Oryctolagus cuniculus: one gene and its partners. The protein of the gene in region 1 interacts with the protein of each later gene in a biochemical or structural test. Links are inferred from orthologs where the notes say so. Each region holds a gene or a part of one and is shown on either strand. Other genes may lie near its edges.

What was found.
Region 2: the proteins of UBXN2B (region 1) and PPP1R7 form a complex in vitro, tested with the Homo sapiens proteins (2 studies listed by BioGRID). The link is inferred for Oryctolagus cuniculus from reciprocal best matches to the Homo sapiens genes UBXN2B and PPP1R7.
Region 3: the proteins of UBXN2B (region 1) and PPP1R11 form a complex in vitro, tested with the Homo sapiens proteins (2 studies listed by BioGRID). The link is inferred for Oryctolagus cuniculus from reciprocal best matches to the Homo sapiens genes UBXN2B and PPP1R11.

The regions. Positions count from the first base shown.
Region 1 is NC_091437.1:83,594,002-83,600,702, reverse strand, and holds part of UBXN2B (UBX domain-containing protein 2B), read right to left. Parts: intron 5,778-6,701; coding exon 5,627-5,777; intron 2,728-5,626; coding exon 2,644-2,727; intron 1,601-2,643; coding exon 1,491-1,600; intron 1-1,490. UniProt on the Homo sapiens protein: Adapter protein required for Golgi and endoplasmic reticulum biogenesis. Involved in Golgi and endoplasmic reticulum maintenance during interphase and in their reassembly at the end of mitosis.
Region 2 is NC_091434.1:511,280-517,980, forward strand, and holds part of PPP1R7 (protein phosphatase 1 regulatory subunit 7), read right to left. Parts: intron 3,849-6,701; coding exon 3,744-3,848; intron 839-3,743; coding exon 752-838; intron 1-751. UniProt on the Homo sapiens protein: Regulatory subunit of protein phosphatase 1.
Region 3 is NC_091436.1:140,417,143-140,424,562, reverse strand, and holds PPP1R11 (E3 ubiquitin-protein ligase PPP1R11), read left to right. Parts: upstream 1-3,266; coding exon 3,267-3,440; exon of another isoform or gene 3,441-3,452; coding exon of another isoform or gene 3,453-3,459; intron 3,460-4,287; coding exon of another isoform or gene 4,288-4,316; intron 4,317-4,409; coding exon 4,410-4,518; intron 4,519-5,230; coding exon 5,231-5,433; 3' UTR 5,434-6,452; downstream 6,453-7,420. Other genes in the region: RNF39 (RING finger protein 39), read right to left, coding at 7,204-7,420. UniProt on the Homo sapiens protein: Atypical E3 ubiquitin-protein ligase which ubiquitinates TLR2 at 'Lys-754' leading to its degradation by the proteasome.

The DNA of each region.
Region 1 (6,701 bases):
TCAGAAAGGCTTATGACCAGAAGTGTTTTAATTTTAGAATATTGGCATTATACATAATGAGGTAACTGTAGGATGGGGTCCAAGTCTAAACACAAAATTCACTTATGTTTCATATATACCTAATACATATAGCTTCAAGGTATATTTATATTGTACTTTAGGTGCACCTGCATTTTGACTAGACCTGTCACATGAAGTTAAACGTGAGATTTCTCATTGTGGCAACATGTCAATGCTCAAAAAGATCCAGAGCCGGCGCTCTCGTGAGACCCGGAAGAAGCTCCTGGCTTCAGATCGGCGCGTCTCTGGCCACTGCGGCCATCTGGGGAGTGAACCAGCGGATAGAAGACCTCTCTGTCTCTCTCTCTATAACTCTGTCTTTTCTATATGCCACATTTGTTTCAGTATTAGCCTACAAAGTTTATAGATTTTTACTTAACAATAAATTAGTCTTAATATATATCACTGTACTCTGATTATCAGTATTTTTTCTTCCACTATCGTAAAATCAGCATCATAGAAACAGTAATGCTGGATTTCACCACAGAGGACCATCTCTGCCCCCCAAACGCTCCTACCTCTTCTCACTGATTCCTCAGGTTCCTATATCCATAGCATTGATTCAAACTATTATATTCTTGTGTTTGCCACTACCACACACTGCCTCCTAGGATAGCTTCTCACCTTTCTTAAGGTCTTCAGCATACTGCTTATAGCACTACTTACCTTTGTCTGGTATCCTGACATCATTTGTGCAAAATTTACATTAAAAATTCATGCTAAGTCATCTGGTCCCTTCCTATTACTACATCTTCCAGCTTATTGTCATCTTTATCTCCTTAGTTGTGCTGCTACTTAGGAATAATTCCATGTCAGCTAGTGAAATCTGTATCACAGAAAAGCTTTTATCATCAAAGCAAAAATCACTTGATTCTTCATCCTGTAGCAATAAGGACTGATGAGTTGATATTATTTTTCAGTTGGCTTAGAGTACTATCTCTCTGGACTACTTTCACAAATTATCACTTTAAATTAACTGTTTGAACTACCTGCCAGTAGTAATGCCACTTTAAAGAGTTCTCATACAAGCTGCTGAATTTCAGGCAAGTGTGCAGTGTAAGTCACCCTGTCACCAGTAAGCAGGACAATGCTATAGCGGACGGGCAGCTACATGCTAACCAATTTCCTGATCTCTTATATTAAGATGTTTCTGCTTAGAGTTGGGTCATGGTTTCATCAAGATTTTTAAAACGGGGCCAATATCCAACGTCCCATGTCCCTTCCCCTCAAAGCCAGAAGTAGTGACTGAGACAGCAATACAGCCTTTACATACTTGGGAAAAAGGCCCATTCTCCCAGCAATCACTTACATAATACTGTCTAGTAATCAACTCTTGAAAAGCAGAAGGGCACACCACTAAATAGTCATCTGGTTAATGGGAAAAAAAAAAGCCCCATTCCAAGTAACAGAATACAAATAATGTATCTTACCCTCTCTTAACAGACTCCAAAAACTGAGCATTTGTTGGGTCACTGTAAGGTCTCAATTCTCCATCATCTAAGCTGAAACCATTGCTCCACAGTTTAAGCAAAACCTGAACCTGTGAGATAAGGAGTAGGGGAGAAACCATTTCCATCAAACAAGGCTAAGTTTTCCAATGTGGTATCTCACAGAACATTACACTGCTACTTAGATTTAAAATAGGAATTTATCCCTATTGTGCTTTATTCAGTTTGCTTAGCAGACTAGCATTCAGTTTAACAAATGATAATGGCTGAAAATACCAAAGGTTCCACAGCTTGACCCTGACCTCGAAGCACAACTACCAGTAAAAGAAAACAGAAGACGGCACCCAGCTATGATCCCACTACTCCCACCCTTCCTCTTCTCTGCTACAGAGCTTAAATACTCATGATAAAGGGCAAGAGAAGTCCCAATGTGCTTCTACGAAAATTATAAATGCTGAAAATGAAACTATAATTCCAACATTTTAAAAGGCAACAGAAACAAAGAATGACTTTAGTGTCTATGTTTACAACCCAGCTCATTATACCAACTATAATCATTATCACAATATATGACACTTTTAAAAACAATTTTCTTTGAAAAACAGAGAGATTGGGACATACAGGGAGGGAGACTGAGTGAGCTACTATCTGGTGGCTCACTCCCAAATGCCCACAATGGCTGGGGAGACCAAAGTCAGGAGCTGAGAACCCAATCCACATCTCCTCCATGGGTTGCAGGAAGTCAACTATTTTAAACATCACCCTTGACTGCCAGGGTCTGCACTGGCAGGAAACTGGAATCAGAAGCCAGAGCCTGGTATGTAACCCAGGCACTCAAATGTGAGAAACAGGTATCCTAACCAGGGGCTTAGCCAGTAGGCCAGATACTTGGCCTGTAAGCCCATTTTGACAGTCACCTACACATTCTTTCAACAATCAGTTATGTACCTCTAAGTATAAGGCATGAATGAGATACATGATACAAAAATTTACACTGAGACCTTACACATTGATCCTTTGAATAAAGCTTCAAAAGTTAACAAAGAAATTTATATTCTTGGTTTTAAATTTCAAAATTAAAAGTAGTAACCAAAGGAAAATATCTATCAATTTTCATTTTGAGTACTATACCTACATCTTGCAGCTGATTTTCTCCATAGATGTATTCAGACCGCTTACAAAAGGAATTTCCCAACCTGTATCCTCCACCTGTAAAAGACTACAATAAAAGTAAGATAAAAATTGAGTTAAAGGTTTATTAAGTAAAGTGTAATTACAAATTGTGATGTACTATAAACTAGATAATCAAATTAAGATGAGCATTTATGCACTGGAATGGGTATTTTCAAGTGTAGCTAAGGTATTTTTAAGCTACCATTACAATGTTATGACAAGTCTTAGAGTAAAGGAAGAATTTTATCAATGAGTCTAAATGACCCTGAAGAAAAGCTATAAGCTTATTTTATAAGCTATTTGGATTCAACTGTAACAAGTCAGCTCTGATTAGACTTTTTATTTTGCTATACTAATCACAAGTTCTTCCATTCATCAGGTAGGGCGGATTCTAAGTAAAAATACTGTTCTTTCTAATCACTCCTAATATCCTCAATGATCTAATTGTCACATTTTTTTTTTTTGTCCATACAGACTAAATCATCAATTCTACATTTTTTTAAAATGGAAGCAGAGAGCTTGCAAGAACCAAAGTGACTTTAAGACTTGACTGAGGGGTTGGTGTTGTGGCATAGCGGGTTAAGCCACTGCCTGTAGTACCAGCACCCCATATGGGTGCTAGTTCGATTCCTGGCTGCTCTACTTCTGATCCAGCTCCCTGCTAATGCACCTGGGAAAGCAAGAGAAGATGGCCCAAGTGCCTGGTCCCCTGCCACCCATGTGCGAGATACAGATGAAGCTCTTGCTTCCTGGCATTGGTCTAGCCTAGCCCCTACAATTTGGGGAGTGAACCAGCAGATGGAAGATCTGTCTGTTTCTCCCTCTTTCTCTCTAACTTTGCCTTTCAAATAAATAAATAAATCTTAAAAAAAAAAAAAAAAGACTTGACTGAGAAAGCATTTCAAGCTGTTGACAGATAATAAAAACTAAAATTTGTTTCATCAGAATAGTTCTCCATATTGATATCAAAATCAATATGGAGAAGACATGCTTTTTCAGCAGACACTCATCTAGGAACACCTCCAACCTTCTAAGCCATCGTATGCGAGTTCATGTGGGAGTTTAGAAGACCTCACCGAGTGACTGTGATTGGAGAATTCCAGGCTGAGAATGCTGATTATGGGAATAAATAACAATTAGACATAAAGACACTTGAAGTCTTCAATACTCCAATACTGAGATGGCTGATAAAAAAGCTATATTAATGCTCAACAGAAATCTAATAAGGTACAAAAGCACTTTCACAAAGAATGGTGAACCTTTTCAACAAATACATTGGGGCAACTGGCTATCTATAAGCAAAAAAGGAAACAATATAAATCTCACATTTTACATAAAACTAACTCAAAATGAATCATGGGCTTAAGTGTAAAATGCAGACTATGTAACTTTTTTGGATAACATGGGCAAGAATGAGTGGTTCTAAGGTTTGGTGAAAGTTCTTAGACAATAACAGAAGCATGATCCACAAAAGAAAATAAAAACCTGAAAAACTGGACTGCATTAAAGTTTAAAACTTTTGCTCTGCAAAATTCCAATTAAGAGGATGAAAATATAAATTATAGTCTGAGAGTATCTGTAAACCATATCATTCGACAAAGGACCCATACTTATTAAAATATTTTAAAAACTCTCAAAACTCAATAATAACCAATGGGCAAAAGTCATAAAGAGATATTTCACTGAAAAGAGTAAAAAATATGGCAAACAAGCACATGAAATGATGTTCAACACCACTAACAATTAAGAAAATGCAAATTAACATTATCACTCATTGGGGAAATGCAAATTCAAACTACAGTATGTTATCACTATACAACTATCAACATGGCTAAATCAAAAATAGTGACAATGTCAAATGCTTATAGGATAAAGAGAAATAGTCTCTCATACACTGAGAATATAGAATGGTATTACCATTCTGGAACACAGTTTGGCAGGTTCTTTAAACTCAACACGGACTTACCATATGACTCAGTAACTGCACACCTGAGCATTTATGCTATAAAAACTAGAATTCATCTGTAGACAAACCTATGTATGATTGCTCACAGCAGTTTTATTTGTGATAATCAGCATCTAGAAACAGCTAGAATGGCCCTGAATAAATGAATGGTCAAACCTGTGGTACATCCATACCATAAATGCAACTTAGAGAAAGAACAGTCTTGATACATGGGATAACTTTGAAGTACCTTGAGGGCACTATGCCAGCTGAAAAAACTACTCCCAAAAGATTTACCTATTGCGTGATATCATTTTTATAACATTTTTAATGTTACAAAATCACAGAGATGGAAAAAGAGAGTAGTGATGGCCAGAGGTTAGAGAGTTAGTGTAGGAGAAGATAGTGGGCATGACTACAAAGGGGTACAACATGAGTAGCTTTGTAATGATAGAATGGTATCATGATTGAGTTATATAAATCTACAAGATAAAATTTTTTGACACAGAGTGTATTAATAGCAAATTCATGGCTTAAATATTGTCCTACAAAGTTCAAGAAGTTTGTGAAAAATGGAATTAATTGATAAATTTTCATGCAGAAAAATGTCAAAATTCATGTACACAGGGTTTCTTTAAAAGGTATGTAGAAATGCATATGATAAAAAAACTATGAAGAGATTTCAAAGTACTTTGAATTAAATTTACCTTTTTGAAATAAATTTATCTTTTAATTTCATTTTCCACAAATTTCATGAAGTCCTCTCTTATAATCATGCAAAGTAGAACCATTTGGGGAAACTACATGAAATAGGTGAACAGTATGTGAGACTTCTGTCTATACTTTTTGCAAATTTCTGTCAATTAACAGACAGGCAATAATCCTATAACATGAAATATTAAAACAAATATACAATTAGAAAACCAATGTTTGCTTATAAAAGAAGAATAGGAGATCAGATATAGAAATAGTAGGTTTAGTTTTGAAACAGCACACTGACCTTAGATTTGTCATCACTTGAAGATCTTGTAGCTTCATTCAGAGGGACAGCCCCATGCTCCCTTGCCTCTTTGAAAAGTTCATTCACAATTTTCCCAGTTGAAGGTCGAACTATATGTAATCCACGGTATTCATGTTCACCTGAATAAAACCTTTAAACATTATGGTTCATGAAAAAACAAACTCCGAATAACATATGGAAACTAAAGTAAAAAGTTACAGTCTTATGAAATAACTTTTATTTAAAAAGATGCATTCTTTGGGTGGACACTGTGGCAGAAATGCTAAGTCACTGCATGGGACACCCACATCCTGTATTGGACTGAGTGCCTGGGTTCAAGTCCTGCCTCCATTTACCATTCAGCTTCCTGTTAATGCTCCCCCTGCAAAGCAGCAGATTCTCTTAAGTACTTGAGTCTGCCACTCACATGGGAGTCCTAGATGGAATTCTGAACTCTTGGTTTCAGTCTGGCCCCTCTCTGGCTCTTGTGGGCATTTGGGGAGTGAACTGGCAGATAGAAGATCAATCTCTCTCTCCTGACCTCCCTCTGCTTTTCAAATAAATGAAACTGAGCTTAAGAGAAAAGAGGAATTCCTGTAACTTCTATGGAAATATTTAATCCATAATTTCATTTTAAGAAAAAGATTAAATAAGAAACAACTCATGTACTTTCTCACAAAGTTTGCAGAGATTCTGATACCACGTTCAGCACAATACCTGGGTTACTACTTTCCTTCCTTAGCCCCTTGTGATTGTTTATCAAATTCAAATTAGCTTCTTTGGAAAAAGTGGGAGAAAAGTGATAGTCTCATCCGCATAAGAAATCCACTCTCGAGCCGGCGCCGTGGCTCAATAGGCTAATCCTCCACCTTGCGGCGCCGGCACACCGGGTTCTAGTCCCGGTTGGGGCGCCGGATTCTGTCCCGGTTGCCCCTCTTCCAGGCCAGCTCTCTGCTATGGCCCGGGAGTGCAGTGGAGGATGGCCCAGGTGCTTGGGCCCTGCACCCCATGGGAGACCAGGAAAAGCACCTGGCTCCTGGCTCCTGCCAGGATCAGCGCGGTGCGCCGGCTGCAG
Region 2 (6,701 bases), on another chromosome or scaffold:
CCTGCAGAGAGGGGGCTGGGCACACACGGAGGGTGGAGGCCACGTCTCAGCACCCCAGCCCCATGCTGTCCCTCGGCAGGGCTCACAGAAGAGCCCGAGTCCAGGACACCGCGTCAGGACTGGCTGCCTCCACTGCTCCCTAACTCTCAGGGCCCCTCCCTGGGCCAGGCCCCCTCAAGCCTTCAGTCCCGCCGTTCGGCTCCTCGGTGTTGGGCTTCTCTGGTGCCTGCTCTCCGCGATGTGCCCACACAGCCCCAGCTTCCTCCAGGGCAGGGCTGCCCCACCCCCGAGTTCTGAGTCCTCCCGCACACAGCTGCCCGGGAGCCCAGGTGACACACGGGCGGGATCAGCGGCCCAGCCAGGACCCAGCAGAGGTCCCGGTGAGCCCCAGTGCATCGAGGGCCACACTCGGCCTGCGGCACTGCAGGACAAAGGCCCCAGCCCAACCCTTATGGAGTCGCGACGGGGAGCCCCTTCTCACCCTGTCGCCTCTCCCTGACTTTGTGACGGTACCAGCACACCCACATCCACGGGGCACAGCCAGGCACAGCCAGGCGGCAGCTCGGCTGGGCCTGCGCCCAGTGCACTGCTCACAAGCTCTGGCTGCCGCGGGGCTGCCGGCCTGGGGCCCACTGCTGAGGCGGCACCGACACAGCCAACGCGGGCTCCACACCTGCCCCTGGCCGGCGCAGCCCTGGGCCTCAGGATCCCAGCTGCACACCACCTCCGTCTCGGCGAGCCCCAGACTTACCCAGAATTCCTGCAGCTCTGTAAGGTGGCTGACATTTTCAATCTTCTTGATTCTATTCGATGCAATGTCCAACATTGTGAGTTTGTTCTGGGATAAGGAAATACATGGATCACCACAGTTGAGCGGGGCTGTGGCCGAGGGTCGGCCAGCACTGTGGGACACAGCCATGTCCCCAGTCCTCACCACCACTGGCTGAGACCCAATCTGTGGCCCCTGGGACCCCGTGAGCAGGCGGCTCTGGGGGGCTGCTTAGCGCTGACCGCGAGCACAGGCACAGCACGGAGGCTTCCAAGCGCGCTCCTCTCCTCTGCGAGTGAGGCTGCAAACCGCCGCGAGCCGAGGGAGAGGAAGCCTGCAACTCTGGGACGAGGGCCTGCCCTCCTGACTGAGTGGGGGGGCACAGGAGGGCCTGGGTGTGCGGCGAGCGAGCCCTGGGCAGACGGGACTGGACAGCTGGCGGTGGCGAGGCACAGCTGCAGGCACACACAGCGCCACCACACTGCCGGCAGGCTCTCCTGTCCCAGGACGTGCACACAGCTAGGCCTGGGCAAGAGCTTCCTCTGGCGTGGATCCGACACCGCACACAAGATGGCTGTAGGCAGCACTGGGGCCGTCAGGACCCACTGCCTGCTGGCACGACGGCGACCAAGCCAAGCCCCGCTGGCCAGAGCGCGCCCCGTCCTCTCTGCCGCTGCTCACCCACTACTCACAGAGGACCCCTGTACTCGTGAGTGCGTTCCTGACTCCAGATCTGAGTCACGAGACACTCCAGTGAGACACACACCACAGCACCTGACTGGCAGCTCTGCACGCAAAAGCACCATGGCTGACCTCAGAGCTCCGGGGCCCTGGCCCCCGACCTGCGCTGGTGCCGTGGGCACTGCCACGTGGGTCACGGCGCTGGGGCCTTCCAAACAGACCTGCAGAGCAGGGCCAGGAGGGCCCCGCTCCAGAGGGCTCAAGGTCACCGCAAGCCCAGCCCTGGTGGACAAAGCTGCTCCCAGCCCGCGGGGTCCACACTGGAGGGTGCAGCACTGGGGCAGGGGGCTAGTGGCAGATGGACTCTGGCTCATCAGCACCGCCCAGGCTGTGGCCCAGGGGCCGGCCACGCACGCGACACCAGTGCATGTCTTTTAGGGAGAGCTGGACAAGGTTCGGCATGGCCTTCCAGAAGCAAACCAATCAGAACTGCTGAGAAGGAGAGAGAAGCGACAGTGGCACAGCGTGGGGAGGGTGCACGCAGGCTGGGTGAGGAAGAGCTTCCGGTGCAGGGGCCACGGCAGGGGCCACTTTCCCCACCTCCTGCCGCACGCAGGGTCCAGATCTGTGAGGTGAGACTGGAAGAAGTCAGGGGAAGGCCTGCTTGGTTTGCGAGAACTAGACAGGAAGGCCTGCACACTGGGTCACGTCTCCGTCTCAGCGGCTGAGCGACCCCGGCGCCTCACCAAGCCCACACTCGGCCCGAGCCCCTGTGCTGCCTGCCTGCCACACCTGCGGCTTCTCGGAACCAGCGGTGCCAGGCTCTGGCGTGGCAGCGGGGCCGTGAGCGCTCCCAGGGGCCGCGCACTGCTGCTCCCTGCGCGGCTGCCACTGGGCACCTGGCCCCCCGCTGGCTCCATCAACTCCAAGTCAGTCCCAAAGCTGAAGGGAGGTGACCAACTCTCCACAGGCACACGCCACCCTTTCCAAAATACCCTGAAGAAGTCGCTGAAATGAGATCTGGGGGAGCCCTTGCTGGGACACGGAAACAGCATCTCCAGTACCAGGAAAGACCAGAGTTACACCGACCAGTGCAGGGGCAGCGCCGCGGCACAGCGGCACAGCTGCTGCCTGCAACACCGACATCGCATATGGGTGTCAGTTCGAGTCTTGGCTGCTCCACTTTTGATCCAGCTCCCTGTTAATGCACCTGGGAAAGCAGTGGAGGATGGCCTTAGTTCTTGGCCCCTGCACCCACATGGGGGACTCAGAAGAAGCTCCTGGCTTTAAATCAGCCCAGCTCTGGCCACTGTAGCTACCTGGGGAGTGAGCGAGCAAGGGAAGATCTCTTTCTTTAACGCTGCCTTTCAAATAAATAAATAAATAAATCTTAAAATAATACAAATAAATGAGCAAAAACGTGTTCTAGCTGGTGTGGCTACTGCACAGGAAAGCTGGCTGAGCTGGGGGTGGCCGGCGAGCAGCCAGTCCTCCATGCGTCCCTCAGAGTGGTGGTGGTGGCCGGGAGCGACACAGGCAGCTCAGAGGCCAGGGCCCAGAAGGAGGGGACAGCTGCTGGTGTCCAGGTTCCTTGTGGAACAGGGGCATCTACAAGCCTAGGGTTTCTCAACTCCTCCCAAATGACCACATGCTGGCTGGACAGGCAGTGACCACCGCCCTGGGAAGCGCCAGTGCGGGAGGCTGCTGCTGACGCCCACGCCACACGGGTGGAGGGGACTGGCCGAGGGCCGTGCGGGTTTCAGGTGGGAAGGCTACTGCAGCTCTGCCGGCAGCCAGCGCTCCTTAGAGACCTTCCGGCCGTGGGCAGTGGGGCAGCCGCAGGCAGTGGGGCGGCCGCGGGCAGTCGGGTGGCCGTGGGGCGGCCACGGGCAGTGGGGCGGCCGTGGGAAGTGAGGCGGCCATGGGGAACGAGGTGGCCGTGGGCAGTGAGGTGGCCGTGGGCAGTGGGGCAGCCATGGGCAGTCGGGCGGCCGCGGGCAGTGAGGCGGCCGTGGGCAGTCGGGCGGCCGTGGGCAGCGGGGCAGCCATGGGCAGCGGGGCGGCCGTGGGCAGTGGGGCGGCCGTGGGCAGTGAGGCGGCCGTGGGCAGTGAGGCGGCCGTGGGCAGTGTCTCGGCCGTGGGCAGCGGGGCGGCCGTGGGCAGTGTCTCGGCCGTGGGCAGTGGGGCGGCCACGGGCAGCGGGGCGGCCGTGGGCAGTGGGGCGGCCGCGCGCGGGCAGTGAGGCGGCTGCGGGCAGCGAGCGCGTAGCCGCAGTGCGAGGCTGCCGGCTTACGTTGTTGTCCAGGCCCTCGATGACCTCGATACCGTTGTGGCTGAGGTACAGCTCGCGCAGGTTCACCAGGCTCTGCAGACCCTCGATCTTGGTCAGCCGGTTGCTCTGCAAAGAGGAGAGCCGACAGCGGTCAGAGCGCGGTGGGGCAGGCAGGGCCAGCACGTGCAGAGGGGGCCGCCACTGCCAGCCAAGGCTCTCGCACGGAGTGTGGGAACTCACGCTTTATAGATACACTGGGGGAAGCTTTACTTGGATTAATTTTTTTTTTTTTAAAGATTTGAGGCGCTGGCACCGTGGTGTAGCAAGTAAACTTGCTGCCTGCGATGCTGGCATCCCATGTGGGCCCCAGCTCGTGTCCAGGCTTTAAATCTTTAAAAAAAAAAAAAAAAATTATTTGAAGGGCAGAGTGAGACAGAGAGGGAGAGACAAAGACAGAAAGATCTTCCATCCACTGGTTCACTCCCCAAATGACTGCAACAGCCAGGACTGGGCCAGGCTGAAGCCAGGAGCCGGCTCTCCCAGGGGTGGCAGGAGCCCAGGCACTTTGGTCATCTTCAGCTGCTTTCCCAAGCCGTCAGCAGGGAAGTGGAGGGGAAGCAGAGCAGGCCGAACCCCAGTATGGGATGCCAGTGTTAGGCCACAACATCAGCCCTTACTCTGATAATTCCTCAATCATTTAAATCAATCAAGTTAATTAAACTTAAAATAATTCCAAAATTGCTGATTATATTTACTTTTAAGGTGTTTACTTTTTACAGCCATCTGTAAAATATTTATTTTTTATCTTAATCTTTAGTTTTTAGGATTCAATGTGACCACTATATTCCTAAAGCTGTACCTATGAAATTTGTATTCATTAAATAAAAACTTTCTTAAAAAGATTTGTAGATGCAACTAAGAGCATGATGTCCCTTTCCTCCCTCCCCCCACCCTGCTCCGTCTCCTGTCTCCACTTTTTGAGATAACATTTTAGATTTGCATTACAGTAAAAAGTCTTAATACTTCATCAAGTAAGAAGTTTGACAAGTAGAAAGCTCAAAGACCTGAATTTGGTAGGAAGACAATGGCTACAAATAATAACTGAATGGAAAAACGACCATTTCACCCACATGCAGTAAATGATTCTTTTCAAACAAGTTCATTCCTGCTTTTCAGGACCCACCGCAGCCTGAGTTTTCCGGCGGTGGGCAGGCAACCTGCCGCAGACAGTCACAGCGGCTCTCCGTGCCCACGGCTGGGCCGGCCGGCCTCCAGGACCCAGTGCACCCGAGCTTGACCGCGCTGAGCTGCTTCCAGCAAGAAAGCTCCCAGGAACTCAGCACCACGGGGCAGCACAGGCCCCTGGGAGTCTGCGGGTCTGTGCTCGCTGCTTCCACCGCCTGGCCAGACGCCAGGAGAGAGCCAAGAGCACACGCCACCAGCTGAAAGGGTCCTGCGGCTGAAGCCACCTGGGACTCCCTGGGAACGTTTCAGTTCAGCAGGTGTGTGTGTGTATGTAGTGTTTGTACATGGCACGTGTGTGAAGAGTGTGTATGGCCTTGTGAAGTGTTTCTGAGTGTGTGTATGTGGTTTACGTGAAGTGCCTGTGTATGAGTGGAGGGGCATGAATGAGGTGTGTACATGAGTTGTATGCACACAAAGTACGTGTGTATGAAGTGTGTGAAGTGTGGGGCCAGCACTGCGGTGTAGTAGGTTAAGCCACTGCCTGTGACACCAGCATCCCATATGGGCATGGGTTCAAGTCCTATATTTATTTATTTATTTTCTTTAAAGATTTATTTCATTTATTTGAAAGTCAGAGTTACACAGAGAGAAGAGAGGCAGAGAGAGAGAGAGCGAGAGAGAGAGGTCTTCCATCTGTTGGTTCACTCCCCAGATGGCTGCCAACAGTTGGAGCTGCGCTGATCTGAAGCCAGGAGCCAGGAGCTTCTTCCAGGTCTCCCACGCGGGTGCAGGGGCCCAAGGACTTGGGCCACATTCTACTGCTTTCCCAGGCCACAGCAGAGAGCTGGATCGGAAGAGGAGCAGCCGGGACTAGAACTGGCGTCCATATGAGATGCTGGCACCACAGGTGGAGGATTAACCTACTGTGCCACAGCACCGGCCCCCCATTGCTCCACTTCTGACCCAGCTCTTCCCACGGCATCTGGGAAAGCAGTGGAAGATGGCCCAAGTCCTTGGGCCCCTGCACCCATGTGGGAGACCGGGATGAAACTCCTGACTCCTGGCTTTGGCCTGGCCCTTGAGGGCATTTGGGGAGTGAACCAGCAGATGGAAGACCTCTCTTTCGCTCTCTGTGTCTCTCTAACTCTGAATCCTACATGGGTGCTGGTTCGATTCTCAGCTGCTTCACTTCTGATCCCACTCTGTTATGGCCTGGAAAGCAGTGGAAGATGGTCCAAGTGCTTGGGCCCCCGCACCTGCGTGGGAGGCTCAGTAGAAGCTCCTGGCTTCTCCCTGGCTGTTGCAGCGGTGTGGGACGTGAACCAGCAGATGGAAAATCTCCCTTTATTTCTCTCTGTCTCCTTCTCTAACTCTGCCTTTCAAATAAATAAAACAAATGCTTACCAAAAACGTGTGTGAACTGTGTACAAAAAGTGTGTGACAGGAAGTGTGTGTATGTGAAGTGTATGTGTATACAGTGGAAGTGTGTATACAAAGCATGTGTGTGCATGAAGTATGTGAAGTCTGCATGTGTGTGAACTATATGTGAAGTCTGTGTGTGAACTGTATGTGAACCATGTGAGAACAGGGTGTGAAGTCTGTGTGAATGTGTGTGTGAAGTCTGAGTGTGAAGTCTGTGTGTGAACCATGTGAGAACAGGGTGTGAAGTCTGTGTGAATGTGTGTGTGTGTGAAGTCTGTGGGATCTAAGGTCTCAGTCACCAACAGGGAAGCAAAGCACTGCTGGTGGGACACAGTGAGGTCCACAATGGGCTGGGGCCACAGGTCTGGCCTG
Region 3 (7,420 bases), on another chromosome or scaffold:
CCCAGAGTACTTCTACCTCTAGTTGAGTTTACTTATTAAAGTTGTATTTTTTCTAAGAACTCTACATGTTATTTATAATTTGTTTTATCCCAAAGGAATTTAAGTAAGTTTTCTGAGCTACATTTGTATGAAAATGGCCACAAAAAAAGAAAAGACCAAAAGACTAGAGCCAGAAATTAGGCTAATATAAAAGCAATTGTGGGGCCAGCAGTGTGACGTAGCAAGTTAAGCTGCCGTTTGCAGTGCCAGCATCCCATGTGGGAGCTGGTTTGAGTCCCGGCTGTTCTACTTCTGATCCAGCTCCCTGAAAATGCTCCTGAGAAAGCAGTGGAAGGTGGCCCAACTGCTTGGGCCCCTCCTCTTCACATAGAACTTACTGGCTCCTGGCTTTGGATCAGCTCAGCTACCGCCATTTGGGAGTGAACCAGCAGATGGAAGATCTGTCTCTCCCTCTTTAACTCTGCCTTTCAAGCAAATAAATAATCTTTAAAAAAAAAAAAAAAAAGCAGTTTGTATTCCCTGTCTGTCTGGTTCCTGAGTTTAGGGAAACAAAAGCTGGGATTTGGATATTGAGAGATTCAACAGCAACTTTAACCAGATTATTTGGCATATAAATTTGGGTAACTGGGATACTAAGGGACACCAGTATGTACTTACTATAGAAGACTTTTAATTTCTCTTGAGATAAATATTTATTCATTGGCATAGATTCTTATACAGAAAGGTAGAAAAAAAGTAAAACAAAGAATCCCACTCCACAGTGATAACCAAATTATGCATCTGTATTTTATATGTATGGAAATACAAATGTCTTCATAAAGTCCATGGAAATGGAATTGAAAGACTGTTTTGGTGCAAGAAAAATTCAAAATCCATGCAAAGAACGAACTTCTAAAAAGTTCATGGAAAATGTGTATTACGAAAAACTATGTTTGAATTTCAAAAAGTTTTTGCACCAAAATAAATTCCATTTTCCAGGACTTTTTGAAGTGTCTTCGTGTTTGTATGTATATGGTTTAACTTTTTTTTAAATTTATTTATTCCTTTATTTGAGGGTCAGGCTTAGCTGAAGCCCCAAGCCAGGAAGTCAGTCTGGTTCCTCCAAATGGGTATCAGGGACCCCACTACTTGAAACATCACCTGCTGCCAGGAGTGCACACTGGCAAGAAACTAGACTGGGGACTGGAGCAGGACTCAAACCTGAGCACTTGGATATGGGATGTGGACGTCTTAACCTCTAGGCCAGGTGCCTGTCCCTGGTTTTTCAAATGAGCTATGCAGTACATGTTAAATCTTGCTTTTTTCAATTTGAACCAAAAATTTGCAAGAAGTACAAATACATAGCTCAGGCACAATATAAAACATTCAAGATCTGATTGTGGGAAATCAGTATTCTATCTGCTGGTTTCCTCCCCACATGCCTGCAGCCAGCGTGGGCTGTGCCAAGGCCAAAGAGGAGCCAGGAACTCAATTCAGGTCTCCATCACTGCTGCCTTCCAGCGGCTGCATTAGCAAGAAGCTGGAGGCAAGCACTGAACCCACTCTGATGAGAGACGTGGGTATCCTAACCGGTGGTTCAACCACTAGGCCAAAAACCCTCTCGCTCCTTCGTTTACATGGTGATTGAGAGACAAATGCAGTGACAGTTATCTTGTAATTGTGTGCCCCATATGCATTCAGAGACCTTAATGTACATTGTGCGCCCCCCCCATCCCCCTTTCCACAGCAACTTAACACAGGCAGGGAGTCTTGCCCCACTGTACATGGGAACTGGCTGCCAATCTGACTTTCCTAACCCACTACTGAAATCTCAAACAGATTGTTCTTGTTTCAGTCCTACTTTAGGCCTCTCTGGCCCACAACACAGGATGAAGTAAGAGGGTTTTTTTTTTTTTAAGAATTATTTTTATTTACTTGAAAGAGTTACAAAACAAGGGAGAGAGAGAGGTTCACTGGTTCACTCCCGAATGACCACAAAGGCCAGAGCTGAGCTGATCCGAAGCCAGGAGCTTCTAGGTCTCCCACGTGGGTGCAGGGGCCCAAGGACTTGGGCCATCTTCCACTGCTTTCCCAGGCCATAGCAGAGAGCTGGAACGGGAGCAGAGCAGCCGGGACTAGAATCGGAGCCCATATGGGGTGTCGATGCTGCAGGCTGGGGCTTAACCCGCTGCGCCACAGCGCTGGCCCCCACGGTTTCTTAGCAAAGCACACAAGGCCTTCTATGGAACCACTACTAACCTGTCAGTTTTCACCATGCCCTACCTAGCTCACATCCCGGCAGTACAAAACTGCATTTGCTTCCGCACACATTTAAGACTTTGTAAACTGCTCTCTGCCTCAGAAAGAGAAGTCTGTTCTGCTGGTTCTTGCTTTACCATTTGTTTTGATGAGAAACTTGCGCTTAATTTTTATAAAATGACCTATACTGTAACTTAAACTTTGCTTTAAACCTATTCATCATCCCAGAGAATGACAGTATATAAATCCAGTTTCACTGATGATTTGCGGGGCTCGCCTGTCTTCCCCTCTAGGCTGGGGGCTAAAAGGCAGGATCTGGGCGTCTTGCGCATCGCAGCCTCAAAGCCTGGCACACTCCCCAGCCGAAGGTGCACTAAGTGTCCTGCTCAAATCCTACAGCACAGGGAGAGAACCCAGGCGGCTTGCTCCTTACCCAGTTCCTCCAACGGCGCCCAGGGCCCGATTCTCTTTAGGGAAGAAAGCCGACAGAGGGTCGAGCCTATCGCCCTGTTTCCCCGCCTTGCCGCCCACCCAGGGTCACGGCTACAGGACGACTTAAGTTGGTGCACCGCCCACCTCCCCGACTCGCTACTACGTCCGCAGATTCACACCGGATCCTACCCTCCCTCTTCACCGCCGGTGGGAGCGCGTCGGCCACCCAGGACCAGCCCCTCCTCCCTTACCCGCAGTGACGCCCCTTCCACTAAATTTGGTCTCCGGAGGGCGGCGCCTGCGCGCTTCCGTATTACGGCGGAACTAATCAGTCGACGCCTGCGCTTTGACGCATCTGGTGCAGGGAAGGGAAAGGGAGGGGGACTGCAGATGCGTCACACCCGGAAGCAGAGAGCCGGAAGTGGGGTTGGACAGGTTATCCCCAGGGGTGGGGAAGCGGAGGCCCAGGAGGAGGGGGAAAAAGGCGGAGGATCCTGGCTACTACTCTGAATCGGACACCGGTTCTCTTAGATCTGAGACACAGAAAAAGGGAGAGGCGTCTCCTTCCCCTTCCCTCTTCCCTCTCAGCCGTAGCCATGGCCGAGGCAGGGGCCGGGCTGAGTGAGACCGTCACTGAGACAACGGTTACCGTGACAACCGAGCCCGTGAGAAAGGAGGGGGCGGCGCTGCCTAGGGGTCTGGGAGACCCGGGGAGGGAGGAGGGCACGGGGCCTCGGAGAGCTGTGGAGGAATGGGCCTGTGGACCTGGGGTGCGGGGATGAATGTCGGGTTAGGAGGACCACAGGGTACTGGAGATACTGGGAGTGGCGGAGGTGCTTACGGCTGGTCAAGAGACAAGCAGCAGGAAGTTAGACGGTGCTGTTGGGGCGGTACTGGGTAGAAGTAGTGAAAGAATGGAATGGAGGACTGGGGCAAGGAAGGTGCTGAGGAAAGGCTGTGTACTCGGTGTGGTTGGAGAGGGCGCTAGGGGACTCGGACCAGAAGCACACTTACCAGTAAATGCTGAGTGGATGAGTGTGAAGAGAAGTGGAGGGGGTGAAGGAACAAGAAAAAGAGACGGGATCGTGTTTTGAGAAATCAGAAAGAGGAGATGGAAAAACAAATTGCGTTTTGGTACAAACAAGCTAAATGGCTTTCCAAGAGAGAATGTTGCGTTGGACTTAATAACGTCTGGATTAAGGGAGTTTAGGAATTGGTAGTTCAGCAGTAGTCACTACCAGAGATGCCAGGATGCTAGGAAATAGGTGGATGACAGGTAGTGGAGCCTGAGCTTAAAGACGGGAGAGATAAGAATGTAGGTCCTTCTATAGTGAGAAAAAATAAGGGTCCAGAAAAAGAGAGGGAGAGCAGAGATTAGGCACTGAGATGATAATTTTCATGTATTAATACCACCAAGGATGTTTTGGGGAGGAAGACAGAAGCAGCAAGGATTCTACTTTTCTTTGAAGATTTGCTGGGACCTTCCCTAGATTAGGAATTGTGTCTCTGTGTATGCAAATAGTCCTCAGGAATAGGAAATAGCACTTATTCCTCAAGGGACTTAGTGAGGTCACAGGCCTGTTCTGTCCAGACCCGTGCTATTTTGTCTTCTTCCAGCACTCAGCTCCTCTGCTTCTGTGTCTGTGGTACTGATTGAGCTGGGGAAGTGAGGAGGGGAGTGGGAAGGGGAAGGGTCAGGAGGAGCTAGACAGGTATGCCCATCCCTCTTACCCTTCTAGGAGAACCGGAGCCTAACCATCAAACTTCGGAAACGGAAGCCAGAGAAGAAGGTGGAATGGACAAGTGACACTGTGGACAACGAACATATGGGACGCCGCTCATCAAAATGTAAGTAATTGTGGGCCCACAGTAGCCATGGGATGTTTTTATTTTTTTAAATATGTATTTATTTAAAAGAGAGAGAGGGAGAGAGAGAGAGAGAGAGATTCTTCCATCTGCTGGTTCACTCCCCAAATGGCCACAACTGCCAGGGCTGGGGCGGGCCATCCAGGAACCTGGAACTCCATCCAGGTCTCCCACATGGGTAGCAGAGGTCCAAATTACTTGGATCATCTTCCGCTCCTTTCCCAGGTACATTAGCAGAGAGCTGGATCAGAAGTAGAGCAACCAGGACTAGAACTGGTGCTCATATGGGTTGCTGGTGTCGAAGGTGGAGGCTTCATCCACTGCATCACATGGCCAGCGCCAAGCCATGGAATTCTTGCATTTCCTGGCCTTGCAGAAGCCCTCAGGTGGTCATAGTCCTTTCACTTTCTTGGTGGTTCTCTGGCATCAGGAAAAGGAAGTTAAAGATGTAGGAGGGGCTAGAACTGGGATGTGCCAAGGCCTAAAGGCAAGAGGTACCAGAGGTTAGAGAAGTGGGATTTTGGACAGTGGGTTCAGGTGCCTGAGTACCAGGGAGCAGGCCTGGAGAGGCTGGATCCTGGAAGGTAGGGGAAGACAGTGAAGTCGCTACTTCCACTGAAATCCAGTGGGAACGGAATGCACTATACATTTTACTCTTTCTCCTTTTTAACTGGACTCCTCCTTCCACATTCAGGCTGCTGTATTTATGAGAAACCTCGGGCCTTTGGTGAGAGCTCCACGGAGAGTGATGAGGAGGAAGATGAGGGCTGTGGTCATACACACTGTGTACGGGGCCATCGCAGAGGACGGCGTCATGCAGCCCTGGGACCGACTCCCAGCACCCCTCCCCAGCCTCCTGACCCCTCCCAACCCCCTCCAGGGCCAATGCAGCACTAAATTCCTCTCTCCCCCACCATTCCTGTGTCTGTCTGGCCCTGAATGTGTCCATGTGGCTACTTGGGGACTAAACCCATGGTTTCATCCCTTCTCCAGCCCACTCCTTCCCTATTCTCTACCAGATAGAGAGAAAAGGAAGAGGAAGTGGACAGGGATCCTGGAATTCTGACTTGCTGCTATTCCAGAACCCAGGTTTCTGGGTTTCCCTCAGCCCTCATTTCTCCTCTCAATACCCACCCTCCTCTCTCCAGGGATCCAGGCATTTGGTCCCAGTCTCCTCCCTTTGTTCTCACTGCCAAACTGCCTGTCCTGGGATCCAGTAATCTTGGCCCCCTGCATTCTCAACTTGAGTCCCAAATACTTAAATTGAGTTTCCAACTGTCTTAGCTTTCACTGCCAGGGTCCCAGTCAGATTCCAGGCAATCTCACCTTAGCTATGCTTGTTAATTCTGGCTTAGAGCTCCTCTACTAAAGTATTTATGTAACCCAATTCTGTCCTTGCCTGTGGGATATGAGGTCTTGTGAGAGACCTCAGGCCTTCCAGCCCCTCCCCTCCTGCCTATACTTCATGCACTCAAGAGGAATTAGGAGAGAGGTCTTTGTTCTTCTCACCTCTAATGGAAAATAGCCTTGTCTTCTGTGCCCACAATTGCCATGTGAGTTAGGATTTCTGACAAAGCTGGCTTGAGACAGGTCAGTTAGAGCCAACTATCTCCTCAGCCTGTGGTCTTTGAGCTTCAGAGAGAGGTACAACATAGTCGCAGGGTCCCTAGTCTATGCAAGGAGATGAGTGTGTGTCCCCTGTACTGCACTCTTGCCCCTTCCTTCCAAGGCTTTGATGTCTGCCAGCCCCAATGTCCCGCTCTCTCCACCTTCCCTGCCCCTTACTCTGGGATCTGGTCATCATTTTCCAGGCCTCTTGCCATGCACAGTTATCAGAGATCAATCAAATCCATACCACCACTGAGATCTCGTTTATTGCCACAGATGCGCAAAATAAATAACCCAACATTGCAAAATGTGTTAAATACGGGCCCATTTCTATGTATGGGGAGAGATGTGAGACTGTACAAGGGTGAGTCTGGGAATGTTTGGACCATTCCCAGGTTGAGGAGCGGAGAGGTAGCACCATTGGTTCCTTTCTGAGAGTATGTGCAGGAAGAAGTTTTAGAGGCTTATTGGGAAAAGGCTGTGAGCACAGCAAGAAGTCACTTAAGGAAGGTAGACTAGAACTGGCTTGCTCAGTTCCCCACCCTAAAGGGTATTTAAGCATCGGAGAGGCCCTAGGGCCCAGCCCTCAGTCAAGCCTCTTGTCTCCTGAAGAGAAACCTCAGAGTGGACAGCACAGGGGGGAAACACAAGCCTTAGAACTCTGGAGAAGGCACTGAACCCTTCTTTGGAGCTGGACAAGGCAAGAGTGGGAGTTAAATGTGTGACTAGCAAGGCCTCTGTAGTAATCACAGGGCGTTTATCAATCCTGGGGGCATAAGGGCTTCTTCCCCCAGTGCAGGTCTGGAACAGTGTAGAAGGGGAGGGCTCAGCAGTGAGGAGAGATTCCCAAGAGGGAGGGAGCAGGAATGAATTCAGCTTTAGGCATGGATGTGGAAAACCTGAGGCCGGTTGAGGTCTTACCTGGGTGTGTGGGGGGAGATAATGTGTACTGGCAGGGGTGCTTATCTGTACTCAAATGGGCCTATGGACAGGATCCCTGGAATCATTTCCACCTCCAGGATGGCTGGGTCAAACTACCAAGAGGGTTGGAGGCGACGCTCAGCCTTCCGCTGGCACAATGCGGAGCGGGGCTCGGGGATCGTGGGTGCAGAACAGCGGGAAGACGCGCTCCCCTAGGGGACCGGGCGCCTGGAAGGCGAAGAGCAGGTCCAGCGAGAGGCCGTCGTAGAAAGCCACGCGGCCTCGCTCCCAGTCCAGGTCCACCCGAATGCGCCGTGGTGGGGGCCCGGCACCACCCAGCAGGGTAGGCTCCGGT